7 linked regions of the Macaca mulatta genome follow. The protein of the gene in region 1 interacts with the protein of each later gene in a pairwise test. Links are inferred from orthologs where the notes say so. Each region holds a gene or a part of one and is shown in the gene's direction. Other genes may lie near its edges.

Evidence for each region.
Region 2: the proteins of TRIM27 (region 1) and UBE2D4 interact in a two-hybrid assay, tested with the Homo sapiens proteins (2 studies listed by BioGRID and IntAct). The link is inferred for Macaca mulatta from reciprocal best matches to the Homo sapiens genes TRIM27 and UBE2D4.
Region 3: the proteins of TRIM27 (region 1) and PUS7L interact in binary tests that used the Homo sapiens proteins (3 or more experiments, as listed by UniProt). The two-hybrid records come from large-scale screens. The link is inferred for Macaca mulatta from reciprocal best matches to the Homo sapiens genes TRIM27 and PUS7L.
Region 4: the proteins of TRIM27 (region 1) and TBC1D22B interact in binary tests that used the Homo sapiens proteins (3 or more experiments, as listed by UniProt). The link is inferred for Macaca mulatta from reciprocal best matches to the Homo sapiens genes TRIM27 and TBC1D22B.
Region 5: the proteins of TRIM27 (region 1) and JOSD1 interact in binary tests that used the Homo sapiens proteins (3 or more experiments, as listed by UniProt). The two-hybrid records come from large-scale screens. The link is inferred for Macaca mulatta from reciprocal best matches to the Homo sapiens genes TRIM27 and JOSD1.
Region 6: the proteins of TRIM27 (region 1) and ZC2HC1C interact in binary tests that used the Homo sapiens proteins (3 or more experiments, as listed by UniProt). The two-hybrid records come from large-scale screens. The link is inferred for Macaca mulatta from reciprocal best matches to the Homo sapiens genes TRIM27 and ZC2HC1C.
Region 7: the proteins of TRIM27 (region 1) and ZBTB16 interact in binary tests that used the Homo sapiens proteins (3 or more experiments, as listed by UniProt). The two-hybrid records come from large-scale screens. The link is inferred for Macaca mulatta from reciprocal best matches to the Homo sapiens genes TRIM27 and ZBTB16.

The regions. Positions count from the first base shown.
Region 1 is NC_133409.1:154,415,366-154,419,487, forward strand, and holds the start of TRIM27 (zinc finger protein RFP), read left to right. Parts: upstream 1-1,322; 5' UTR 1,323-1,411; coding exon 1,412-1,831; intron 1,832-3,064; coding exon 3,065-3,160; intron 3,161-4,122. UniProt on the Homo sapiens protein: E3 ubiquitin-protein ligase that mediates ubiquitination of various substrates and thereby plays a role in diffent processes including proliferation, innate immunity, apoptosis, immune response or autophagy.
Region 2 is NC_133408.1:84,413,322-84,416,821, reverse strand, and holds part of UBE2D4 (ubiquitin-conjugating enzyme E2 D4), read left to right. Parts: intron 1-2,682; coding exon 2,683-2,788; intron 2,789-3,500. UniProt on the Homo sapiens protein: Accepts ubiquitin from the E1 complex and catalyzes its covalent attachment to other proteins. In vitro able to promote polyubiquitination using all 7 ubiquitin Lys residues, but may prefer 'Lys-11' and 'Lys-48'-linked polyubiquitination.
Region 3 is NC_133416.1:50,752,677-50,756,843, reverse strand, and holds the start of PUS7L (pseudouridylate synthase PUS7L), read left to right. Parts: upstream 1-1,367; 5' UTR 1,368-1,373; coding exon 1,374-1,393; intron 1,394-4,167. UniProt on the Homo sapiens protein: Pseudouridine synthase that catalyzes pseudouridylation of mRNAs.
Region 4 is NC_133409.1:144,959,887-144,963,386, reverse strand, and holds part of TBC1D22B (TBC1 domain family member 22B), read left to right. Parts: intron 1-559; coding exon 560-867; intron 868-3,082; coding exon 3,083-3,262; intron 3,263-3,500. UniProt on the Homo sapiens protein: May act as a GTPase-activating protein for Rab family protein(s).
Region 5 is NC_133415.1:12,822,230-12,826,165, forward strand, and holds the start of JOSD1 (josephin-1), read left to right. Parts: upstream 1-1,136; 5' UTR 1,137-1,277; exon of another isoform or gene 1,278-1,462; 5' UTR 1,463-2,097; coding exon 2,098-2,282; exon of another isoform or gene 2,283-2,867; intron 2,868-3,271; exon of another isoform or gene 3,272-3,936.
Region 6 is NC_133412.1:148,262,503-148,266,604, forward strand, and holds the start of ZC2HC1C (zinc finger C2HC domain-containing protein 1C), read left to right. Parts: upstream 1-1,302; 5' UTR 1,303-1,681; exon of another isoform or gene 1,682-2,100; intron 2,101-2,482; 5' UTR 2,483-2,501; coding exon 2,502-3,830; intron 3,831-4,102. Other genes in the region: ACYP1 (acylphosphatase-1), read right to left, coding at 1,140-1,302.
Region 7 is NC_133419.1:114,997,010-115,000,509, forward strand, and holds the end of ZBTB16 (zinc finger and BTB domain-containing protein 16), read left to right. Parts: intron 1-213; coding exon 214-381; intron 382-3,028; coding exon 3,029-3,258; 3' UTR 3,259-3,327; downstream 3,328-3,500. UniProt on the Homo sapiens protein: Acts as a transcriptional repressor. Transcriptional repression may be mediated through recruitment of histone deacetylases to target promoters. May play a role in myeloid maturation and in the development and/or maintenance of other differentiated tissues.

The DNA.
Region 1 (4,122 bases):
TAGTCTCTCTATACTTCAGAAAGGAGCAAGCAATTTTTAGTTGCTCCTCAATACAACAACCCTATGTAATGGGCATTTTGTTACTATTTTAATGGATAAACAACCTTATGGTTCAAAAAGTAAAAGATGTAACGAAATCTACTTCTTTACGGCGGTACAGTTATCATCCCCATTTCACACGAGGAGAAACTGAGGTAAATGAATGGTAAACCAACTTGCTTGGGCACAAGTGAGAGGTAGCAGAGCTGGGCTTGTTATTGCCACACAGAAATGTTACCATCTGATAATTAAACCTTTCTTTTTCTAAACAAAACTGCAAGTGCCTACAAATGGGTCTGTTTAATAAAAGGCCTCACCTATCAGGTGGGCTCAGACGGTGACCCTCCTCATCCTCCAGCCTCTTGGGGAAGCCAGATGTCTGCGCTCCCCAGCACCTATATAAAGCCAGCTTTCTTTCTTCTTTTCTTTTTTTTTCAAGACGGAGTCTCGCTCTGTCGCCCAGGCTGGAGTGCAGTGGCGATCTCGGGTCACTGCAACCTCCGCCTCCAGGGTTCAAGCGATTCTGCTGCCTCAGCCTCCTAAGTAGCTGGGACTACAGGCGCCTGCCACCACGCCCGGCTAATTTTTCTATATTTAGTAGAGATGCGGTTTTACCATGTTGGCCAGGATAGTCTCGATCTCCTGACCTCGTGATCCACCCGCCTCGGCCTCCCAAATGCTGGGATTACAGGCGTGAGCCACTGCGCGCGGCCAAAGCCATCTTTAGCAGGGGCTGAGACCTGGGCACCAAGAAGAAACCCAACTAAACACTAGGGGCCTGGGCCCGGCAGTCGCGGAAGCTTGTAGGCCCGGAGCGTGTGGCACCATCTGCTTTTGTGACCAGTCCCCTAGGCTAGAGCTTCGGCGCGACCCGCCCAAGGGAGAGTGGCGGAGCCTCCCAGGCCTTTCTAGAGAAAGCAGCCCGGGCCCCGAGGCCACGAAATCTTGTCACACACTAGAAGCGCGGGCCAAGCCCCGCCCCCCGAGCCGCCTCTTCCGCTCGCGCCGGGGTGGGGTCTACGCGGCCGCCGGGATCCGCTCGGACGCGGCCACGTTGTCTTGCGCGCTTTGCGCGCCTGGCCCTGGGATCCTGACCCTTGGCTACCCGTTCCTGCCCCAGTAGCGTGGCCGCGAGTCTCTGTGAGCCGGCTGTATTCCCGCACTCGCTCAGGGGGCACAGGCGCAGGGATCGGCCCGGCCACTCTGAGCCTTCGGTGCGCGGGCGCGTCTGGGATACGGGCCCGGGAGGCACCGCCCTCCGTCCGCCCGGTGCCTCCCAGGAACAGCGAACGGGAGAGAGCGCCGGAGAGTTGGGCTCCGTGCAGAGCTCGGCGCCGGGGCCCATGCCCGTGAGCCCCCGCAGGCCCGCGCCATGGCCTCCGGGAGCGTGGCCGAGTGCCTGCAGCAGGAGACCACCTGCCCCGTGTGCCTGCAGTACTTCGCAGAGCCCATGATGCTCGACTGCGGCCATAACATCTGTTGCGCGTGCCTCGCCCGCTGCTGGGGCACGGCAGAGACTAACGTGTCGTGCCCGCAGTGCCGGGAGACCTTCCCGCAGAGGCACATGCGGCCCAACCGGCACCTGGCCAACGTGACCCAGCTGGTGAAGCAGCTGCGCACCGAGCGGCCGTCGGGGCCCGGCGGCGAGATGGGCGTGTGCGAGAAACACCGCGAGCCCCTGAAGCTCTACTGCGAGGAGGACCAGATGCCCATCTGCGTGGTGTGCGACCGCTCCCGCGAGCACCGCGGCCACAGCGTGCTGCCGCTCGAGGAGGCAGTGGAGGGCTTCAAGGTGAGGGCGCGGATCCGGGAGGGCGGGAACGCGAGTCGGACAAAGGGAGGAGAGAGCCAAAGGGGCTTCCCTTTTTCCGCCTAGAAAATGGCTGAGCCGGACGTGTGGTTCACAGCCGTCATTTCCTCTCTGTCCGCCCCAGAGCCTCAGCACTCAGATTTGGAGGAAAACCTGTAGCTGGCGAGGGAGCCAGAAGTCTCCCCACCCCCACTCTCCTTTCTCTGTGTGCCCCCATGTTTCCTGTCTCACGGACACATTGTACACGGAGACATGCTTTTGACAGTATAAAAGAAGTGCATAAAATCGCTTGCACATCGACGAGCTGTAGAGACACATGTACTCTCGTCGGCTGTCAGACAAAACGCAGTCGGACATTAACTGACCGATGCCCATTCCTTGGTCTATAAGCATTTCCCCAGCACTTTCCTGCAATACGTCCTGGTCTAGAAACTCACAGAAAAGAACAGGCTCTTCACTGCTTAAGTCATTTAACCACTCTGAGACTCAGGAGATAACAGTTATGAGGAAGATTATGGAATCATGTGATGCACAGAGCCCTCTGTGAACTGGCACAGCTAAACAGAAACGTGGAAACAAAATATTACATATAAAACAGTTGTAAGGTGACCTTCAAGGAGTCCATGATACTGTGTATTTTCTGTATGTTGAGGGCTTCAGGAATTCATACACAATTATGTCCGTGTTTAAATATGAATACATTCATGTGTAATTAATCACTTAACATTTATGGACCTTTCAGCTATATTCTTTCACTTACTCTGGTGAGAACTCTTGAGTAGGTTGGGAAGATGGTGTTTGCCCATTTCACACATGAGGGAAATAAGAAGTCACTTTCACAGTATGCTTGTGTGGAAGAGCTACAATACAACATAACTCTAAGCCTCCTACTCCAGTCACAGTTCCGCTAAGTCATGCGATATCCTACCAGGGACAGGTAGATGATTCATTGTTTAAGATAGACACAAATAATCCTGACGAGGTAGCTGAGTGGTTGAAGCGACAGGCTGCTAAGATAGACACAAATTGCCAAATGAGTGGCTTGTTGGCCCCTGCGCCCTGAGTCTTTCTCTTGTGGGTGGCAGTGTGGCCTGAGAACAAGTGCCAACTGGATACTTGGCATCAGGTGTGTGGACTCCATGTGTGATTAGAAGTACCATGCTGATGCTAAGGTCTACCTAGTTTTGAACTGCCCATCTGTTTTGCTTTTCTCAGGAGCAAATCCAGAACCAGCTTGACCATTTAAAAAGAGTGAAAGATTTAAAGAAGAGACGTCGGGCCCAAGGGGAACAGGCACGAGCTGAACTCTTGGTAAGGGTTGTTGGAATTCACAGTCGCTTCTGCTGGTGCTCCCCTCTTCTGTAGAGCTGATGTTACTTCCCTTAGACTTGTCCAGCATGTCACCCAGAACCTGTAGGTAGAGGGGGATCAACTGCACATGGCAGTGGGAACTCACCCAGAGAACTAAGAGATTCCCTTTCTTTTGGGGAAAGCGTGGAGGAGCCAAGTTTGGAACCCTTGGAAATCAGACCTGTCAGTATAGTTTAACCTGCTAACTGCGTAGACCAAGGTTGATCCTTGGCAAAGCTGAGATGGGTAAAATTATTGGATACAGTTAGCTTGCGTTGTTACCATTCTTCAGACAAGTGCTAATAGTGGATTTGTGTAAGTCCCACTGTTGCTTCTCTTTGTGTTATTCTCCTTTCTTGACAATGCCTTAATTCTGAATTTTTTGCTCTGCTCTCTTCCTCCAATCTCTCAAGGCCTCGACAAGTGGCTGATGTATTAATTTATGATAGGGGTATATGGGAATTTTTTCTTTTTATTTCCGACAGGGTCTCACTCTGTCACCCAGGCTGGAGTGCAATGGCAAGGTTTCGACTCACTGCAACCTCTGCCTCACATTTCAAGTGATTCTCCCACCTCAGCCTCCCAGGTAGCTGAGGCTACAGGCATGTGCCAACACACCCAGCTGATTTTTGTATTTTTAGTAGAGATGGGGTTTCACCATATTGACCAGGCAGGTCTCGAATTCCTGACCTCAAGTGATCCACCTGCCTTGGCCTTCCAAAGTGCTGGGATTACAGGTGTGAGCCACTGCACCTAACTGGGAATTTTGTTTTGAAAAGAAAAAAAAAAACAAGGCAGGGCATGGGGGGGGGTGGCGGCTCACACCTGTAATCCCAGCACTCTGGGAGGCTGAGGTGGGCGGATCACCTGAGGTCAGGAGTTGAAGACCAGCCTGGCCATGGTGAAACCCCGTCTGTACTAAA
Region 2 (3,500 bases), on another chromosome or scaffold:
AGGTTTCTCCATATTGGCCAGGCTGGTCTCGAACTCCTGACCTTGTGATCCACCCACCTCGACCTCCCAAAGTGCTAGGATTACAGGTGTGAGCCATCACGCCCAGCCGGCAAAATCCTTATGTTCCTTTGCCCCAGCCCCTGCGTTGAGGTCACTGCTCACCCAGAGGGAGTGTAGGTGAGGCAGATTCTTAGGCTCCTGTAGCAGTGGAAGCTGCACCTGACTCAGAACACCTTGCACATCACAGAGAGCAGACTTTCCATGGGTCCCACAACATCCCTGGGAGAGGTACCATGTACCTATTTATAGTGAAGGCTCTGAGGTCCAAGGTCATTTGAAGAAGTAGTGTGTGGCTGTGGTTTAAAACAAAAACAAAAACAAAAACAGAAAAAAAAAGTCAAATGTAGGAGAGTATACAGTAGAAAATAGGACCTTCTTTCAACTTTGTCTCTCTAACCATGCCCGGCCCCCCGCCTTTTTTTTCCCACAAGGCACTGAGTCTTACTTGTCATTTCATTTCTCTTTCAGGAGTAATCTCCACCTGGATAAGCACTTGTTTGTGCTTCCTTGTTTCTCCCATGAATGGAACAGGCGTTTCCATGAATCTGCATCTTGCTTTTCCCATAGCAATATGTCTTGGAAATTGTTCCATATGATCACATTCATGTTTTAAAAATTCACCTCATTCTTTTTAAACAGTTGTGTAATATTCTGTTGCTTATTTATAACATTAATTTAACCAGTAATCAATCTGAAGACATTTAGGTTTCACATCTTTTGTTACAGTGGGTATCCTTACATATTTGAAGTGCACAAGGGTATTTTAGGACTAAATTCTGAGAAGGGGGTGGTCTTACAAAGGGTGAAATAGAAAGGTGGGGAGGGTTTGTGGCCTGGCAGAGGGTCCATGGCCTGAGCTTTTATTTGTTATTATTATTATACTTTAAGTTCTAGGGTACACGTGCACAACGTGCAGGTTTGTTACATAGAGTATACATGTGCCATGTTGGTTTGCTGCAACCATCAACTTATCATTTACATTAGGTATTTCTCCTAATGCTATCCCTCCCCCAGCCTCCCACCCCCCAACAGGCCCTGGTATGTGATGTTCTTCGCCCTGTGTCCATGTGTTCTCATTGTTCAATTCCCACCTATGAGTGAGAACATGCAGTGTTTGATTTTCTGTCCTTGTGATAGTTTGCTGAGAATGATGGTTTCCGGCTTCATCCCTGTCCCTGCAAAGGACACAAACTCATCCTTTTTTATGGATGCATAGTATTCCATGGTGTATATGTGCCACATTTTCTTTTTTTTTTTTTTTTTTTTTGAGACGGAGTCTCGCTCTGTCACCCAGGCTGGAGTGCAGTGGCCGGATCTCAGCTCACTGCAAGCTCCGCCTCCCGGGTTCACGCCATTCTCCTGCCTCAGCCTCCCGAGTAGCTGGGACTACAGGCGCCTGCCACCTCGCCCGGCTAAGTTTTTTTTGTATTTTTAGTAGAGACGGGGTTTCACTGTGTTAGCCAGGATGGTCTCGATCTCCTGACCTTGTGATCCGCCCGTCTCGGCCTCCCAAAGTGCTGGGATTACAGGCTTGAGCCACCGCGCCCGGCCATGCCACATTTTCTTAATCCAGTCTATCATTGATGGACATTTGGGTTGGTTCCAAGTCTTTGCTATTGTGATAGTGCCGCAATAAACATACGTGTGCATGTGTCTTTATAGTAGATATACACAGTAATGGGATCACTACTGAATCAAATGGTATTTTTAGTTCTAGAAATGCCATTTCTAGAACTAGAGGAATACCTTGAGGAATCGCCACACTGTCTTCCACAATGGTTGAACTAATTTACACTCCCACCAACAGTGTAAAAGCATTTCCATTTTTCCACATCCTCTTCAGCATCTGTTGTTTCCTGACTTTTTAATGATTGCCATTCTAACTGCCATGAGATGGTATCTCATTGTGGTTTTGATTTGCATTTCTCTGATGACCAGTGACAATGAGCATTTTTTATATGTCTGTTGGCTGCATAAATGTCTTCTTTTGAGAAGTGTCTGTTCATATCCTTTGCCCACTTTTTGATGGGGTTGATTTTTTTCTTATAAATGTGTTTAAGTTCTTTGTAGATTCTGGATATTAGCCCTTTGTCAGATGGGTAGATTGCAGAATTTTTCTCCCATTCTGTTGATTGCCTGTTCACTCTGATGGTAGTTTCTTTTGCTGTGCAGAAGCTCTTTAGTTTCATTAGATCCCATTTGTCTATTTTGGCTTTTGTTGCCATCGCTTTTGGTGTTTTAGTCATGAAGTCTTTGGGCCTGGGCTTTTCTGCTGATACATCAACAAAACATCACTGCTTTTTGCATAAAACTTCTGGGCTTTTGAGTCCTTTCTGCCACTCTTGTTACTCCTCAGGACATACTGTTTTCAGGGAGACGGTGTCAATCCCCCTATGTTCAGAATGAGAATCCAGCAGGGAATGGGTCAGGGAACTTCTGGGTGATCACTCACTTCCATATCCCATTAGAGTTTGGGAGTGGGTGTCTGGCTCAGCCTGCACTGTGGGGCCAGATATGCAGCACACTCCAGGTACAGCCCAGCAGTGGCTGCTCCTGCTTTACTTGGTTCTTTTCCCAGACGTCCCTGTGGTTTGTCTGATTTGGGATCTCTTGTCTTTGCAGGTTGCTTTCACAACCAAAATTTATCACCCTAATATCAACAGCAATGGCAGCATCTGCCTTGATATCCTGCGGTCTCAGTGGTCTCCAGCGTTGACTGTGTCAAAAGGTAGAGACGACGATGGCATGCTCTGTGTGCCTTGTCTCTTACACGTGTTTTTACCCCAGCACTGACTGAGTGAAAATGGAGGCTCAGAGAGAGCAGTCACCTTTCCCAGGTCACTTAGCCCTGTCCACTGCTGTGCCTGTAAGTGGACATCCTTACATCCCTATGAGGCAGCACCAGCAGAACTTTGTGCCCCACGCCGTGGCGCTTCTCAGCAGTCCATTGCCCTGGGGTGCTCAAACTGTCACATGGGTGCAAGAAGAAAATATTGATTCTACTTATATTTTTTATCTAAAAATAAGAAAGGCAAATATTAAATTACCTTCTCTGTTCCCTCATTTATTCATCCAATAAGCACAAAACGAACTGTGAGTCAGCCCTGAAAAAAGATACAGGGCATGCCCCTGGGGACCTCAAAGTTGGTGGAAAAATCCTCCCTTCCCAAATAAATGATATTAAGCACATGTCTCTGGTTGAAGTTGAAGAAACCAGTCTAAACTGAGCTTAGAAATGCAGATATTCCTTCTGAACTAAGATGGGCTGCACATGGGCTGTGTGTGCACAAGAGGCCTGAATGTAGACAGTGCAGTATCCTGGCAGGTGGAGCGTGGGTAGGATTGTGAAAAATCAACCCAAGAGAAACAGAACCTGGCCTAATTTTTAAATTTCTCTGTAGAGGAGACAGGATCTCACTTTGTTGCCCAGACCAGTCTCA
Region 3 (4,167 bases), on another chromosome or scaffold:
GCTCAGTTTGGAGACGTAGAAGGCAAACTTCAAACGAACGCTTTGCACGAAAACAGAAGAAATTTGAACTTCCTGATAGCCCTCTTCAAGGACCACTCCAAGAAAGGGAAAAGGCAGATTTTAATATCCTGTGCTTACAAGGGACCTTGGGCAGTTACGTTTTTGAAGCACTAATAGCGCCGTTTCTTTCCATTCTAAATGCTCAAAGTGCTTTCTCGCTTTCCCAGGGTTTGCTTTTTTTTTTTTTTTTTTTTTTCTTTTTTCTTTTGAGACGTCGTCTCCCTCTGTTGCCTAGGGTGGAGTGTAGTGGTGCGATCTTGGCTCACTGCAAGCTCCGCCTCCCGGGTTCAAGCGATTCTGCTGCCTCAGCCCCTGGAGTAGCTGGGATTACGGGCGCCCGCCACCATGTCAGCTAATTTTTGTATCTTAGTAGAGACGGGGTTTCACCATGTTGGCTAGGCTGGTCTCGAACTCCTGACCTCAAGTGATCCGCCCGCCTCGGCCTCCCAAAGTGCTGGGATTACAGGCATGAGCCACCGCACCTGGACAGGGTTTGCTTTTATCCCTTTGTCTCTCTCTGGCTTCCAAGCTGACACTTTTTCCCCTATCTGCGAATGTACCCATCTGATCCCATAAGCCCCCTCCACTTTCTAATTCCCTGGAAGCTTGGAGGCCGGAGAAACAAGCGAATTACAATCGTGTGGAGGCTCCGCGAGCTGTCGGAGCCACAGGCATCTGTCAGGTGCTGGCCTGACTTCCTGGTTCTGGGGAAGATTCTTCATTTCGCAATCGGGCTCACGGAACCCAGGGCCTGGGAGGTGAGAAACTTGAGGTCCGACTGCGCCCCAGAACAGCTGAGTGACGTCCCTCCAAGCCTCAGGCTCTTTCTCAGGGCCGCCGAACTTCTTGATTCCCGGGGACCTACCCAAGTCTTTCTTCTGGAGTAAGCTCTGTCCACGGAACCCACTTCCTCTCTAACTTTTCTCACGGATGATAGAGATTTCCGTTCCGCAACCTACCACAGCAACCCTGAGGCAGAGGTGCCAAGACCTGGAAGCGGACCTCGGACGACCTTTGACCGAGGCATGAAGGCGGGGAATGCCTTACCTGCCCGGGCGCGGGCTGCTGAAGCCGGCGACAGAAGAACCAGCCGAACTAGGAAGCGCCGTGGAGGGGCGGGGCCAACCCGGCAGGCCCCTCCCCACTTCCCCGATGGCTTCATCTTGGCGCCTTCAGGCGGCTCCACAAAGTGAGAAACTCCGTGTCTTGCGTAGGGCGCGTCTTTACGTGGGCGCCTGCCCCTTTAATTACGCCCCTGTCGGAGGCTGAAACGCTGAAGGCTTCCGGGCATGCGCACAGCGTTGTGCAAATGAATGCTTTCCACTGAACCGAGGTAGATCGGGTCGAGCTTCTTGCGCGATGGTGGGCTTGTATGCGGGGGGGTGACGAGATTGGCATTGAACCATCCATACCCTTTGCCCCCAAAGAAGGGTGACGTGGGCTAGTGTCGCGCCTTTGGACAGGCAGAGTTAGGGGAGGGAGAAGAAACAGGTAGAGTTGCTGGCCTTGTCGGGGACACTTTTGGACGTGCTGGAGGGCAGCGACGCCCTAGTTCTGCGAAGTTAAGTAGCTTCTGCAGGACTGGGTTCAGTATCTCTAATACCTTCTCAGGATCCCTCTTCAGCCAACGAATTCCTCACACACACGCGCCAAGCAAACTACTCCCCCCCGCCCCCCCCCCCCCGCCCCCTGGCACCCCGCTCCACACTGTCATGAGCAGTTTCTGTTGAATGGGAACACTGCACCTTCAGGCTTAACGCCATGTGGGCTCCTTTGCTGCCCTCCAGTTCGGTTCCACTCTTTTACCAGAATGCTGGAATTACATTCTCCCCAAGTTTCCCTACCTGTTTCACTTGCTTAGAATGTCTATCTTTCTCCATTTTTTTGGGAGAAAGAAAAGATCATTATTCTTTCAGAGCCAATCCCTACAGCTATGTTCTTGACCACGCTGTTTTGTTTTTCAACTCCTCTAACTGTTACTCCGTCGGATACATCCTGCTCATTTCCATCAGAATCATCTTACTAAAGCCTGTTTTGGGATTGTGTCCCTTTTCTATTCAAACACTCACAGCCATCCATTGACCACCCAATAGATTCTAAGTCCTTGTCAGGGCATTCAACATCTTCCATAATCTGGTATGAACTCAGCTGCATATTCCAGCACAGTACTCTCCCTGCCTCCCCATCCCCACTGCTCTGTATCTGGACTGTTTGTTTTTCTCTCACACGTTGCATGTTTTGTTTGTACATTACTTGTGAGGTCACTGCCTCATTTCTATCTCTTGAACTATTGGAGGACTTAGATGGCCACTTCTTGCATTATGCCTCTCCTAATTATCTTCCACTTCACTCCTACAGCACTTATTTTGTACTAGCTTTTTCATTTATTTAACAATAGTATTTATTGCAGACCTACCATGTGCTTGACACTGTTCAAAATATGGGATCATCAGTAGTAAATAAGGCAGACAAGCTTACTCCTCACGTGGAACTAACATTCTCTTTGGAGGAGATAGACAATAAATAATAAAGAAAAACTTTACCTAGAACTGCTATGCAGAAAATTAAATAGGGTTTTGTGAAAGAGAATCACTTGCTGGGCGCGGTGGCTCACGCCGGTAATCCCAGCACTTTGGGAGGCAGAGGCGGGTGGATCACAAGGTCAGGAGTTTGGGACCAGCCTGGCCAATATGGTGAAAACCCGTCTCTACTAAAAAAATACAAAAATTAGCCAGGCGTGGTGGCGCGTCCCTGTAGTCCCAGCTACTCCGGAGGCTGAGACAGGAGAATCGCTTGAACTCGGGAGGCAGAGGTTGCAGTGAGCCGAGATAGCGCCACTGCACTCCAGTCCGGTGACAGAGTGAGACTTTGTGTCAAAAAAAAAAATCACTTGCAGGTTCCTGTAGATTATTGGCCAGGAAAAACTTCTCTGAGGGCATGAATCCTAAAAGATGCAGCTATATGGTTGGGGAGGGAACAATTTAGACAACAGGAACAGTTAGCACAAAAGTACTAAAGAAGGCCAGAGTAGCTGGAGTATAGCGGGTAATGGGGGTAAAGGTACAAAAAAATTTGGAAAATAAACAGGGTCCCTAATCTTAGACGTCCTTGGAAGCCAGGGTAAGTAATTTGGATTGTATTGCAAATGTGATTAGAGGGTTTTAAACTGGATTGTGATATGATTTAATTTACCTTTTAAGACACCATTCTGGCTGGTTTGTGGGCTAGTTGTAGAAGCAGGAATTAGGGGCCTTCACAACAACTAAAAGTTTTTGGAATGGAAGTATTAAAGTAGGTGTGATGAAGGACAGTGGGAGTGATAAAAATCAGATGCTTAAGGTTAATGCAGTTGTTGGAGATGAGAAAGTCAAAGTTATGACCATGACAGTGGATGACCAAGATGAAGCAGAGGTGTGAGGTTGAGGTTGAGATTGAGGACTTGAGGGTCCAAGACATTGAATGGATGATCCATATAGATGATCATGAAAATCATGTTGCATAAGAAGGTAGTGAGCCAGAGATCAGTGAATGAAGCAGAGTTGTCTGGGGATCCGAGAGAGTATGACAACAGATGGTAAAGCCCAATAGCAGGCTCTTCAAAAGAATTGGTTTTTTGGAAGTAGTAGAGGAAGAAATGGCTTGCAAGGAACAGTAACAAACATAGAACAATATTTACAGCCTCCAGGTCCTAAGGTAGATGGGTGGGAAAGAAAAAATAGCCCTCACTTGAGAGGACTAAGGAAGAAGCAGCCTGAAAAAATAGCCAGCTTTCAATTAGGGCAAGAAAGTGAGGGAACTGTACAGGAAATTAAGTAATTAAGGAAAATAAATATATCTTATATTTTCCTTAGGAAATTAGGATATGGAGAATTTGTTGTGATTTCTATATGGCATGATTGAAAGGATTGAGAAGGGATGTGATTTGCTAAATTGGTTCAGAATAGTAGAATACATTATAGATATGAGATGATGGTCCAGATGATGATAAATTACTTGGAGAATGTGGGTAAACACAGAACTCAGTAGTAGGGGGGCCCCTGGGCAATTTATCTTTCCTGCAGCTCCATATCGTATGGTAGCCATGGGTTTGTGTGAAAGGTGAGAGAT
Region 4 (3,500 bases), about 9.5 Mb from region 1:
AGTGAAACCTTGTGTCTACAGAAAATAATAATAAAATTAGCCAGGCATGGTGGTGCACACCTGTAGTCCCAGCTACTCAAGAGGCTGTGGTGGGAGGATCACTTGAGCCCAGGAGGTCAAGACTGCAGTGAGCCATGATCATACCACTGCACTCCAGCCTGGGTGACAGAAACTCTGTCTCAAAAAAAAAAAAAAAAAGAGGTTATACAGAACTGACACCTATTCTCTACTTTGCCTGGAAGTAATCGCCTTATTTCTCTTCTTAGTCCATTGGCCAGAACTGGTCATATGGCCTCACCTAAGTGCATGGGGGCCAGGAAGTATACAAGAGCACATGGGATGTTTGGTGACCATTGCTGTCTCTGCTACATCTGTCTCTGCGATCTCAGGCTGGTCTGGATGTATCTAGATGAAGAATGGATATGGGCAGTTTTTGTTTGAAGAAGCTAATGATTATGTATGGAGTAGTTTGTAATTTATTAACATTATAATAATAAGCAAATGCAGGTGGTCAGATGTGTCAGGCCATTCCTTGGTAATTGTGTCTCCTTTCTTGAAGTTTCATTAAAGAACGATCAAAAGTCAGCACAGTTCCTCTGAAGAATAAGAAGGCCTCCAGTTTTCATGAGTTTGCACGGAATACCAGTGATGCTTGGGACATTGGCGATGATGAGGAAGAGGACTTTTCCTCACCTTCTTTCCAAACTCTGAACTCAAAAGTTGCTTTGGCAACTGCAGCCCAAGTTCTAGAAAACCACAGCAAGCTGAGGGTAAAACCAGAACGGTCCCAGTCAACGACATCGGATGTTCCTGCCAACTACAAGGTCATAAAGTCCAGCAGTGATGCCCAGCTGTCCAGAAACTCTAGTAAGTCCTTCCTGCTCCCTTCATAGCCTCAGGCTTTTCAGCAGCGTGCATTTTAAATAAAAGCGATTTGTGGTGGCTGCCCAGTCTGGTGACCTGGGGCTTCACTTTCTAACACCCAGGTGTTGTTTGCCATTCTCCTCTTCTCTTCTTACTTTCCCTGTGGTGGAGTCCAAAACTTCTGGTTTGATTGCTTCACATTGCTTTAGTCCTGGTCAGGTTTAGAAATATTAACTAATTTAAAGCTGTTAGTGGCTGAATTTCACAATTGTTTGGCCACTGTGGTTTGACTTTCTCAGCCCTGGGGAACAGCTACTAGCATAAAATTGTCTCTTCCTGTTCCTGAGGGAGGGAGCAAATGTGCCTAAAGGCCCCAGGTCTCGGCTTCCTGACCATCAGGCAGGTCCCATCAGGTTGGGTGGGATGGAAGTAGAGGCCTCTCTGTTTCTTTTCGGGAAACTGGCCAGAGTAACGGTTGATGCGATGGTGGTTTTATTAGACCTTTGGGGACTCTCAGTGTATTCCTTTAAATATTCATGGTTGTGTTTAATGTTGCCCTAATGGGTTTTATGAAAGTGTGTTGGGAACTGGAGAGGGAAGCTTTGTCATTGCAGTGAGAGTTAAAGCGGTGAGCGGGTAAAGGATGAAAAGGAAGTAGAAGAACATCAGAGCCCTGGCTCATGTTCTGAGGGAACTTTTTTCATGGCTGTAAGGTCTTTGCAATCATTCCACAGTTGTTTTCCATCACTGATTTGGGCTCTAGCGTGAACCTTCAGTGCCATGCACAGATAGGCATTCAGTGTTACTGACCAGGTGGCCACAGCTGCAGGCTGTGGAAGGTGTGTACACACGGTGATGGAGGGTCTCCAGAGATTCCCAGTGTGAGGAAGGCCCCTACTGTGATCCATAATGAGCTGCCCTGTGCAGCCAGGACCTCCCCAGCCCAGCCCAGAGCATTCTCCCTGAGGAGGTTTTCTCCTGCGGGCATCTGTCTGTAAATAGGTAATAGCGGAGATTTACAGCTGTCTCAGCTCTGCAGTGTGTCTGCATTTTCTAGTCCTCTCGTTACACTAGGCGTCCCAGCCAACTGCCTCGTGGAAGTTGTTTTTGTAAGCCTTCTAGTAGTACTGGTTGGTTGATATTCAATGTTTAATTTTTGTTATGACTACTACTTTTTAAGGCCCAGCCGTGTAAAGAGTATGAGGCAGTCATGTAAGCACAACTAGAATTAAAAACTGAGTTTTGCTTGTGATAATACAAGAGTTTCAGAGTCAGGCTTACCTAAGGTGGTTTTTCACCTCTCACTTGCAAATAATTTAATCTCCCTGAGCTGCAGTTTCTTGTCTGTAAAATAGTTATACATTCCTACCATGTGTTCTAAGGATCAAATGAGAGGTCATATGTAAAAGTGACCTATATGCCTTATACATAGGAAACACTCAATATATGTGAGTCCTGTAGTGCTTATTCACCCTACCCACCATCCAGTCTAGAAATGTCGAGAACAAGACAGAGTTCAGTTTGAGTCTTTGTTTGTTATTTCAGTCATATCCTGGCAGAATTAAGAACTGGTTCATTTTGGTGGGAAATGTAGGTGCACAAAGGAACCGCAGCCACCAAAGGCAGGATTGCCTTAGGCCAGAGCTTCTCACCAGGGCACACTGATGGGCCAAGAACCAGGTACAGGATGTGTGGAGATATTGATCCTCTTAGTCCATGGAGCAGCCGGGGGTTCCGGGGCTTGTGGAGAGCAACCACCTCCATTTATTGCAGCCTTGTGCTTTGTGGTGTCATCTGCCTTGTCATCATTCCTTATGTGCTCTGGGATGTGGAATGGGAAGGAAAACTCTGCCTTAGACTAAACTAAACTCACTGTTTGGCATCAAGAAAAGTTCCAAGTTGGGGCAGAAAGAAAACATTTGATTTTCCTTTAGAGTCACCAAAAAAGTTCTCAAAAGTTGCTGCAGCTTCTGGAGTCTCTGTTAGCACCTAAGGTGCCTTGGTGTGTTTGATATAAATGCAGCCCTTTCTCTGGGCAGTGAATGGAGCGTGGCTGGGTTCTGGTCCCTCGCTGCCCCTCAGCTGGGCACCTCAGGCAGTGCACACAGGCAGCCACGGCCTTGGGGAGGAGACACGATGCTGAACGATTAGGTTTAAGGCTTCTCAGAATCCATGCTCCTCACACAGCCCATTCTGTTTCTTTTTCAAATGATCTCAGGTGATACATGCCTGAGGAACCCACTCCACAAACAGCAGTCACTCCCTCTCCGGCCCATCATCCCCCTCGTTGCCCGGATCTCGGATCAGAACGCCTCTGGGGCCCCCCCAATGACTGTCCGGGAGAAAACCCGCCTAGAAAAATTCCGTCAGCTTCTCTCCAGCCACAACACTGACTTAGGTGAGTCCCTGTGAGCCCAGGCAAGGTAGGAGCTTTTGGTGACTGGAATTCTCAGAGACCTGGAAGCTACTGCTCTTTATTCTTCCTTCTTTTACTTTTCTAGCTTCTCCTGACCTGGTGCCCATTGCAGTGACATGCAGGTATTAAGTCAGACATATGTTACTAGAGATTATGGACCAAATTAGGTGGGACTGGTTTCTGTGACCTGTAGACCCTAGTGCAACTATTCTGACTTTGA
Region 5 (3,936 bases), on another chromosome or scaffold:
TTGGATCTCAAGAGTTCGAGACCAGCCTGGCCAACATGGTGAAACCCCATCTCTACTAAAACTACAAAAATTAGCCTTGGGTAAGTGGCAGGGGCCTGCAATCCCAGCTACCCGGGTGGCCGAGACAGGAGAATCGCTTGAGCCCAGGAGGTGGAGGTTGCAGTAAGCTGAGATCGCCCTATTGCAATTCAGCCTGGGCTATAAGAATGAAACTCCGTCGCAAACAAAAACAAAAACAAAAACAAACTAAATTTAAAGTGCAATTTCTTCTCGTTTTTCCAGTTTTACGAAAAACCCCAAAGGAGGGCAGCTAAGGTGGATACTGATGCCTACCACGCACCCTAAGAGTAGGTAAAGGGAAAAAAATGAAATCCACGTGGGACTGCGAGTAGTTCGCCGTTTCCCGACGACGCACACAATGCGCTTAGGTATACTTCGCGCAGAGGTCTCTGCAGAGAGGAAAGCCACCGTGAGAAGAGCGGGGAGCCCCCAGGCAAGAGGGCAGTGGCTTGTGTGTAGTGAACTGAAATGCGACACCACGGAACTGCAACAGGAGTCTCCTTTCCACTTGAAATGTGACTCAAAGCGAGGCACCTACCCTTGGCGCTCCCTGGACAGTGCGGCACGGTCGGGCCCACTAACCAAGGCAATTTGCGCCCGACCGAATCAGGTGCTCCAAAATCCCCCCTGGTGAGCCGCGCGTTAGCCACACAGAAAACAGTCAACGCAGAAGGAGCGAGAACGCTCGGCCGAGAAGCCTGGCCCAGAGAGGGGAGGGGTGCGGAAAGCCGCGGACGGCAGCCGCTGGCCTGCAGGACTCCCTCAGGCCGCCCCACCCCGCCCCGCCAGGGACAGCGCAGAGCCGAGCGGCTGGACCCCAATCCTGCCGGCCGCCGCCGAGCTCCGCAGCCCGCAGCCCCACACCCACTGCTCCGCCACACCCCAACCGTTCAACTTGGCCCGTACACGCCCGGCGTCCCCGGCTCCCAGGCCGGTGCCGATGACGTCACACCTACGCTAGGCGTGACGCCACGGCTGGGAGGAGCGAGGACGGCGCCAGAGGGCGTTTCCGGAGCACGCGTCGGGCGGGGGCCGGTGACGTCGGGCTCAGGTGCGCGCGCCCGCCCGCGCGGCCCAGTTGGCGGCCCGCACTCCAGGTGGCGGCCGTTGTCGGTGAGGGGACGGCTGGCGTTGAGCGGTCCCGACGGCGTTGGGGTCTGCAGCCAGGGGCGCGGCGGGAGGGCGTCTGGGCCTGCGCTCACGTGACGGGTGGGGAGGTTGGTGTAGGGGCGGCGAACCGGGTGGGTCCGGGCTCAGGAGCGCGAGGCTGACTGTCCGGCCCCACCCCTTGCGGGCCAACCCGTCGCCGCGCGGAAGGAACCTTCCCTCGGGCAGGGGCCGGCCCCGCCGCGCACTTCCCGCGCCCGCTCGCCGCTGACCGGAGTTGTCTCTTCCTCCGCAGGGCCGCGGCCAGAGGGCGAGAGTCCGCGCCTTCCGAGGGAGCCGCGCCCTGCGGGCCCCACCGTACCCAAGGGGATGGAGGGCTGCCCCCGAGGCCCCCGCGCGGCTCGCGGTCCCACGCCTGCCGGCCCGCGCTAGCTGCTCGACTCGTGCGCGTTATCCGCCACCCAGGCCTTGTCTCCCGAGTCAGTGGCGTCGTGGTTCGAAAGAAATGGAAGAAAAGGAGCGATGTGACCGATGCTGTTCGGTCCTCCTGCTTTGAGGCCTGGCATTTGCAGAGGGAAACAGCAAGAAAATCGTGGGGAGTTTTGAGGGGGGTGGGAGGGAAGGGTGGGGAAACGGAAACAAGGTCTTACATTTTATGGGTTTTTTTTTTTTTTTTTTAATTCTGCAATTTGACAGTGGTAGCAAAATGAAAGTAATCCAAAAGTTATTTTTCTCTTGAGAAGAGAAAAGAGGTGGGTTTTTTTTTTCCTTTTGATTCCAGTCTTTTCTCCCAGTGACAAAGCATAAATCATGGACACCAGAGAATAAGGTGAACCTCAGGAACCCGGAAAAGACTGAGAAGGTTACATTCTTCTTCTGGAGGGAAGAGTAGGGTGTTTATAGCCATCTCTGGAACCTAAAACAAAAAACATGAGTTGTGTGCCATGGAAAGGAGACAAGGCCAAATCTGAATCATTGGAGCTGCCCCAGGCAGCACCCCCACAAATCTACCATGAGAAACAGCGCAGGGAGCTTTGTGCCCTCCACGCCCTCAATAACGTCTTCCAGGACAGCAATGCCTTCACCCGGGATACGCTGCAAGAGATTTTCCAGAGGTAGGGGACCCTTCTCCTTGGCATCTTGATACTTACTGATATTTTTGGATTTCTGTGGGTGGGATAATGTCTCAAGTTTCATAAACCTTTAAATCTATAGGTATTAGCTAGATGTCATTAGCAGGTATCAGGGACACAAGACAGGAAAAGATAATCACTACTATGTATCGGGCACTCACTGTGGGCTAGGAAAGTGCTCATATTCTCGGCTGTGTTTTCTCGAGTGATCTGCTCAACAATCCCATGGAATACGTGTTAATACGTGGTGTTATTTCCATTTTACTGATGAAGACACATTTAGTTCCGTACTTTGCTCAAGGTAACAAGACTTGGAGCTGGGGTTGAATTCTTACATCTATGCTGTTGACCACTATGCTAAATGCCTCTAAAGTTCTGCTGCCGAGGAGTTTACAGTCTAGAAGTGGGACCCGATACGTACACGTTCAGTCGCCTGTCATCAAAGGTGGAATGTGGTGACTACCACAAGCAAGAGGTATACACAATGCTCAGCTTTTCTGTGAGCCATGTGCTGGCAGTGGCGCTGTTCGTACATTGCTTTGTGTAGCCCTCCTAACAGTCATTTCACTGCCTGTATTTTACTGATAGAAAGGTCAGGTAATATGTCCAAATAGCTTCTAAATAGCAAAGTTATAATTTGAAGTTGACTCCAGATCGCCTCTTTCTCCTTTATTCTAGATGGCCTTTCTTATCCATTTAGAACAAATGCCACCCCACGGGTTAGTAGAGGTTCAGCTTTTGGCCAAGCACGGTATAATCCCAGCACTTTAGGAGGCTGAGGAGGGCGGATCACCTGAGTTCAGGAGTTTGAGACCAGCCTGGCCAACATGGTGAAACCTCGTCTCTACTAAAAATACAAAAATTAAGTCGGGTGTGGTGGTGCACACTTGTCCCAGCTAGTCGGGAGGCTGAGGCAGGAGAATCGTGTGAACTCGGGAAGTGGAGGTTGCAGTTAGCCGAGATTGTGCCACTGCACTCCAGCCTGGGTGACAGGTCTCAGAAAAAAAAAAAAAAAAAAAAAACTCAGCTTTTTTCTCTTTGCTTTGATTTTCTAGAATTACTTTAAAGGTTTTGAGAGTCAGTTCTGTGGTGTCTTGATGGACACAACAGCATATCTGCAGTCCATAGCAACTCAGATGGTGATCTTGCCTGATGACCCCAACTAGAAAGGGTTAGGCCCACACAGTCCTCACTGAAGAGGAGCTCAAGCGTTCTTCAAGCAGTACATATTGACAATTCCAGAAGACCTTTTTCTTACTCTCTTAGCTTGGAAATGAAATTATTGCCACATAGGGACCAGAATTACAGCTGGTAGCAACCTATTTGGGGTGATTTGTAAAACACAGGTATGGACCATTTGTCCTGAAAGAGCCAGAGGCTTACTCTTAGAAGAATGTTAATCCCCAGATGCAGACAAAACTATAATGAGAGTAATTATTTTCCAATGCCAGTAGTAACCAGAGTAATGCCTTACCAGGGTAAATATGTTATTTGCATCATGGCCATTATCTGGCAGCAAGTAGAATTGACTCTTCAGGACCTGGGGCACTGGGAGGTAAGATAATTTGTCTCAGATCATCAGGTCATGTCACTGAAAGGAGAACCCAGTACATTGGACTGCTTCCTTTTGGCCAGC
Region 6 (4,102 bases), on another chromosome or scaffold:
GCGGATCACCTGGGGTCACGAGTTCAAGACCAGCCTGGCTAACATGGTGAAACTCCATCTCTACTAAAAATACAAAAAATTAGCCAGGTGTGGTGGCAGACGCCTGTAATCTCAGCTACTCGGGAGGCTGAGGCAGGAGAATCACTTGAACCCAGGAGGCGGAGGTGGCAGTGAGCTGAGATTGCGCCACTGCACTCCAGCCTGGGCAACAGGGTGAGATTCTGTCTCAAAAAACAAACAAATTTTAAAAAACCCTCAAAACCAACAAAACAGAAAACAAAAACAAAACGCTGGGGTAAAGTGATGGAGTCAATTCCCGGAGGGTACTGAAAAGCACTAATTCAAGAGAACTCATGGAAAGTGGCCCTTCTTTCTCATAGAGGAGAGGGAAGGAGAGAGGGAGAGAGACAGACAGAGACAGAGACAGACAGAGACAGAGAAGAAAGGGAGAGAAGGAAGAGGAGAGAGAGAGAGAAAGAGAAAGCCCGTACATTCTGCTGAGGGAAGCTGCGGGAGTTGATAATTGGGACCCTGAGTAGAGTGGCAAACATCTGGAGCTGCATATATGTAGAGGTGGTGCAGGCAACAAGGGATGAAAACGAGGAATTAAAAAAAAAAAAAAAAAAAGAAAAAGAAAAGAAAAAAAAAGAAGGACTGACCTGGAGGGTCCACCAAGGAATTTCTTTGTAACAGGTAACAGCTGTAATATGACATGTTGAAGTATTAACACTGATGACTGCTTGTCTACATTATTTTCCAAGTGCATGAATTGAGTAGTTACAGGGAAAAAGCGAACTGCCTGTTCCCAACGTCCTACACAGATGAACTGAAACGAAGAAAAAAAAATAAACTTTCTTTTGATGTCAACAAGTTACAGAGTATCATTTACTGTTGAAACCAGGTTATACTGATTATTTTCGATCTGGTAGTTCTTTATTATCATTACACTTGGCTGAGTCATTCCTACGCCCTAAGTACAGACGGCTAGAGTTACCACGTGAGAGTAAAACATTATAATATCAAAATAATTAGATTGGCCACAAAAATTACCCCGGAAAGATACTGCGTAGCAAAAACGTTGGCAGCAAGTTCCAAAGACTTGGCGACGACAAGCAGGGAGCGCGCACGTGCAGCCATACCTGGGGCCCGCCCAGCGCAGCCAAGCGCGCCGAGAAAGGTCAGCAGCAGCCCCGCTCCCACCAGGCAGGCGGTCGCCTGCACCCTGCGGCGGAAGCACGCGGAGGCACAGCCAGGGCCTCCGCCCTTTGCCAGTGAAGGGCACACCCCAAGGTCTGGGAGCATCGTTCTCAGGAAAGTACAAGTTCTTCTTTGATGGAGCCCCAGAAAAGCCTCTCCCGCCCTTCCTCGGCTCCCCAAGGGCAGGGCTGGACCCGGCTGCAGAGTTGGCCGGACACTGACTGGGTCAAGTGACGGTCGGGCTGACCGCACCCCCCACCCCCGGTCGCCCCGGGTCGCTGGTGCACTGCGCCTGCGCACGCCTCCCCAAGGAGTTCGCAGCGAGGGGCGGAGCTTGGCCCGCCAGTAACTCGGTCTCCAGGCACCGGGAATAACAGAAGCTAGCTGAGAGCGCCTGCGCGGCCGTCGGTTGAGGGGGAGGTCGGGTCTGGGAAACTAGGCCCTGGGGTTTTCCCTGAGCAGGAGCGGTGCCCGAGGGCCTCAGGTACGCAGAAGGGCGGGGAGACAGAGGGTCAGCACCTCCTAAGGGCCCGAAGGGCAGGAGAGAGAGAGGACTTGTCCCCAGAGGCGGAGTCCGTAGTGGGGGCGCCCCAGTTGACCCTTCGGGACAGAACGTGACTTCAGCCTTAAGGATCTAAAACCGGCTGCAGCCAGGTCAGGTGGCCCTCAACGCTCAGGTTACAAAACTTTTACCGTCTGCGCCACGGGGACTCCTGAGATGAGGGTTTGACAGCCAGGCACCTGCTCCAGGCCCTAGCAGCCTCTGTGCTCTTTTGAATCAAGCACGGTTCCAGCAGGAGGGAAGCCCTGAGAGCTCTTTGTGCCAGTCACTACCTCTGGGCCACAGCTTGCTCACCTGTAAAATGGTGAGGATGGACTCGGACGGAACCCTTCAGTTTACAGGTGAAGAAACGGGGGCCAGCAAGGGAGAAGTCGCTTGTCCTGTTACAGGCCTAAAACCTGACTTTCAATCCGATGCTCTTTCCACTTACTGTAGAGTATACTGTGCGTGGCAGAGGCTGGTGCTGGAGGAGAGGAGAGCTAGGTGGCAGGAACACCTGTAGCACCTCCGTTTCTCTACCCTCAGGGCCTAACACAGTGTCTTGTGCATAGTAATCACTCACCAAATGGTTTTTGAAGGGAAGCTTTGGCAGATCCAGCACCACTGTCCCCAGAAAAGTTTAAGGAAATGTGGGCAGGGCAAATGTAGAAATAGTTTGCTTTAGCAGACGAGAGTGAACCTCAGACAAACTCTTCGCATGTATCTGGTTTAAATCTCCCGTAGGCATCAGTCCAGGCCCTGAATGGCTGGTCTCCAGCGGTTGGCATCACATCTGCCTGTGGGCGTTATGCTTCCACATAATACAACAGAAGCTCCAGGGCCCCACTCAGCCAAGCAAGACTCTTACGAACAAAGTGACTCTTCCCAGCAGTCCTTGAAGGGGCACCTGAGGAACAATTTCCAGAAGCAGCTTTTGAGCAACAAAGAGTTGACTCTGGATAAAGTCCACACTCACCCCAAATGGAACACAAAAGCCCGGAGCTACTCCTATCCCCACTGTACTGGAATCAGCCACCAAGATGCAGGAAGTGATTTCCAGGGCCAAGTAAAACAAATTTACTCATCAGGCCCTCAATCCTGGTATCCCAAAGCCAATAACCAGGACTTTATCCCCTTTACAAAGAAACGAGTTGGAGTGGACCGGGCGTACCCACTGAAACCCGTGGTCCACAGGAAGTCGTGCAGTACAGGTGAGTCTGGCACTGATGGGGACCAGAATGTCTACCCAAGGCCCCCTGAACTGAGAGAGTTTTCATCCAGGAACTTTGATGTGAGGAACCAGGTCAACTTTTCTGTGGTTGATCCTGTTCTTGCTGCCATGCAGGCGGAGAAGGCCTTGGCAAACTTGGACAGGATGGAGTGGGTGCAGATCCGAAGACTAGAAGCTGCAGGGGAGAGCTTAGAGGAGGAAATCCGAAGAAAGCAGATTCTCCTGAGGGGAAAGCTGAAGAAGACAGAGGAGGAACTCAGAAGGATCCAGACGCAAAAGGAGCAGGCCAAGGAAAATGAAAACAGAGAGCTACAGAAAATTATATTCCCCAGGAGCAGAGTTAAAGGTAATAACAGCAACACCACGCACAAAGCTGTCTTCTCCCCAGAATTTGATTTTGAGGAAGAATTTAGTAGAGACAGGAGAGAGGATGAAACTTGGGAACGGTCTCAACAAAATTCGAGTCCATTCCAGCTCTCTGATTATAGAATTCAGAGACTCAAAAGGGAAAGGCTGGTAGCAAGCAATAACAAAATTCGAGACCGAGTCTCAGAGCCGTCGATGGAGAAGTTCTCCCCGCCTTCAGAAACACCAGGCGGTGCTTTGCAGGGATCTGCCAGAAATTCCAGCCTGTCCATGGCACCAGACTCCTCAGGTTCCAGCGGCTCCACTGAAGAGCCACAGCTGGGTGAGTGCAGCCACTGTGGGCGAAAATTCCTCTTGTTCAGGCTGGAGAGACACTCCAACATCTGCAGCAGGATACAGGGTTCCAAGAGGAAAGTGTTTGACTCCTCCAGGGCCCGGGCTAAGGGCACAGAACTAGAGCAATACTTGAACTGGAAGGGGCCAGCTTCAGCCAAGGTAACAAGAGCCTTATGGATGTGACTTGGTGTGGGGATCATTGTAGGGGTCTGTTTTGTCATCATCAGTTTTCTTTAGGGAAAATTCATGTGTCATGTAGGAAGAATTGACGTCTAGAATTAACATTTCTTGATTACTACTGTATGCCAGCATTGTGATGGGAGCTTTGCATGTGATCCTCGCATTTATCTCTCATTTTATCAGTTCAAAAATCAAGACTTGGACAGGCTAAGTAACTTGCTTGAGGTCACAAACAGCTTTAAGTGGCAGAG
Region 7 (3,500 bases), on another chromosome or scaffold:
AGATGATCATGGGCCCACAGTAAAGTGTGGACATGTGTGAACACAGGTATTGCTTGTTTATTCAATGGAGGTGTGGCCGTGGATCCCTAAGTTGTCTTTGGAGGTGGTGAATACAGGCCGTCTCATCCTTCTCATGCACTGAATGTGCCCTACTGTACCCTGAGGAGGGGGCAGGGAGAGGCAAATGCCTGATCCAGCCGCTTGTCTCCACAGGCGACCACCCCTACGAGTGTGAGTTCTGTGGCAGCTGCTTCCGGGATGAGAGCACACTCAAGAGCCACAAACGCATCCACACGGGTGAGAAACCCTATGAGTGCAATGGCTGTGGCAAGAAGTTCAGCCTCAAGCATCAGCTGGAGACGCACTATAGGGTGCACACAGGTACTGAAGGCCAGGGAGGGGTCTGAGCTGGCTCTGGGACCTGGGTGGAGGTGGGAAGCAGATGGTCTCCTGGAGAAGCCTAAGTGAGGATGATCCCAGGCTGAATCAAAGAGTAGAAGAGGTTCTATTAAGGGCTGGTATGATGACCTGAGGGCCACCACACCCCAGTCAAGGTGGCCTGAGGGCCACCAGTCAAGGCCAAGGCAGACATTACTAATCAATCCCAGCACACTTTCCAATGAGCCCCCACCAGCTCTCCAGGCAGTTATACCAATAGTTCAGAGGTGACATGCAAAATGATGTCTGTATATGAGTCCTAAATTAGGGGTAAGTTGGTCCAGTTAGCTGGAAGCGAAGGTTAGGTCCAGTTAACATGAAGCGAATTTCATGTTACTCAAGGGTTACAGTAAGAATTAGGATGCATTGAATCAGGTTATGATGGAAGTTGGGAAATTGTAAAGTTAGATTGTGTTTGGTTCTGAGATTAGAAGAGCAGATATATTTAATAATCCCTATATGCATATGATGTTTTACCATTTCAGAGTGCCTTCACATTTTTTTTTTTTAGACAGAGTTTCGCTCTTGTTGCCCAGGCTGGAGTGCAGTGGCATGATCTCAGCTCACTGCAATCTCTGCCTCCTGGGTTCAAGCAGTTCTCCTGCCTCAGCCTCCCGATTACCTGGGATTACAGGCGTGTGCCACCATGCCCGGCTAATTTTGTATTTTTTTTTTAGCAGAGACGGGTTTGCCATGTTGGTCAATCTGGTCTCGAACTCCTGACCTCAAGTGATTCACCCGTCTCGGCCTCCAAAGTGCTGGGATTACAGGCATGAGCCACCATGCCCGGCCACATTATTGTTTGTATTGGAAAAAGAAATGTGGGCCACTGCTTTTCCTGAGGTCAGAAGACAAAAGAAGTGAAGGGTCTTCCACAGTGTCCGAGGTTGGGGGCAGTGGAGTATTGGAGCTTGCTTGTGAAAGCTAATTTTTCACATTTCTTCACAACTTCAAGTTCAGCGACATCACCTTAGTTGCTTAAAATTGGCCCTGGTAGGAGTATTCACATCATAGCAATCAGCAGATGCTACAAACCAGGGCTTTTTAGAAAGCCAGTTGTTAAACATTTACCACCAGCACATTGCTGGTTGTGGGGAAGGCTGATTTACAGAAGGGTAAGAGGTGGTGGCACATGGAAAACAAAGAAACCCCTCTGATCGGGGGGGACAGCTGTCCTGTCCAGAGGAAGGGGGAGAGGTGGCTTCAGGCAGGTCCTGCTGGCTTAGAGGAGAGTACATTGCCTTTGGAGGGGAAGGGTGGACAGAAGGAGCAGTAAGCAGAGCTACGTGTTGTCAGAGCTCAGTTTTCGTGCCCCAGTTTGAGCCCCCAAGGACAGGGTTGGGTGTCCATTGCTGACACCTATAGTGACCCAGAGGATTTCCCAGAGCCCTGGGGTTTCCTTAGCCCCTTGTCGGGGATGTGACCTGGCAGGTGGATCATTAACTGTATTGGCAGTGACTATTGTAAATAGCTGGTCGATGGTTAGATCACTTTGGCTGTTCATTACTTCATTATTTGCTGGGGCCTGTGCACGGAGGAGTATTGATAGCGAGATGGCTGGCCAGTTAATTACTGTATTGAAACAAGGTTCCCTCACATCCTCTGCTCAGCTCTAGGGGACTCTATGGAAGGAAAGTTGGGGTATAGAAGGCTAGGGTGTGGCTGTGTACTCCCAGGTTCTTTATCCTTCCCATCCCACCCCACCCCCAATTCTAGCCTCAGGAGGGAGGCAGGGTCCAGGGCAAAGTCTTAGCAGTTTTAGCAGGATAGGCCGGGTGCGGTGGCTCATGCCTATAATCCCAGGACTTTGGGAGGCCGAGGCAGGCAGATCACTTGAAGTCAGGAGTTCAAGCCCAGCCTAGCCAACATGGTGAAACCCTGTCTCTACTAAAAATACAAAAATTAGCCAGGCATGGTGGCAGCACCTGTGATCCCAGCTACTTGGGAGGCTGAGGCAGGAGAATCACTTGAACCCAGGAGGCAGAGGTTGCAGTGAGCTGAGATCGTACCACTGCATTCCAGCCTGGGCAACACAGTGAGACACCATCTCAAAAAAAAAAAGGCTTTAGCTGGATAGAGGTTCCCAGGTGCGGCATATTTGAAGGACTGGGTTCCCTCAGTTTTCCCCCACCCCTGCTCCCCACCATCTGTAGCCCTGAAAGGTCTCGATCCACCTGCTCCCTGGATGGAACTGCGGCTCGAAGAGCCATTCCTGAGGACCGTGGGGCCTTTCTCTTTCTAGACACTCATTTTCTTAATTAGAAAGGGAAAAGACTGTGGCCTTAGGAGAGTTAAGAATAGTAAGACAAGGAACTGGGCAATCCAGTAGTCAACTAGCTACATGTAGCTATTTAAATTAGTTACAATGAAATAAAATCAGAAAACTGTAGAGCTCCAGTCGCACCAGCCTCGTTCATAGCCATGTGTGACTGGTGGCTGCCGTCTTGGGTGGTGCCTTCATTGTCCCAGAAAGTTCTGTTGGAACAAGCCCAGCAGGAGGAACCCAGCTTCCCTGGCACACCTGAGGGTGACATGGTGCCCTCACCGCCCTCTGTCCTCACTTTCTCCTGCCCTGTCCCTCTGCCCTCAGGTGAGAAGCCCTTTGAGTGTAAGCTGTGCCACCAGCGCTCCCGGGACTACTCGGCCATGATCAAGCACCTGAGAACGCACAACGGCGCCTCGCCCTACCAGTGCACCATCTGCACAGAGTACTGCCCCAGCCTCTCCTCCATGCAGAAGCACATGAAGGGCCACAAGCCCGAGGAGATCCCGCCCGACTGGAGGATAGAGAAGACGTACCTCTACCTGTGCTACGTGTGAAGGGAGGCCCGCGGCGGTGGAGCCGAGCGGGGAGCCAGGAAAGAAGAGTTGGATCGAGATGAAGGAAGGACTATGAAAAATAAAAAAGGAAAAGAAAAAAAAAAAAGAGAAGGAAAAGGAAACCTGATAGCTTTTTGGCCTTGGATTCTCTCTGGGCTCCAGATGACCTGGATGCCAAGCCACTGCCCCTCCTCTGGGGGCCTCCACCCTCCTCTCCCGGCTGGAGGTTTGCCTGATTTTCT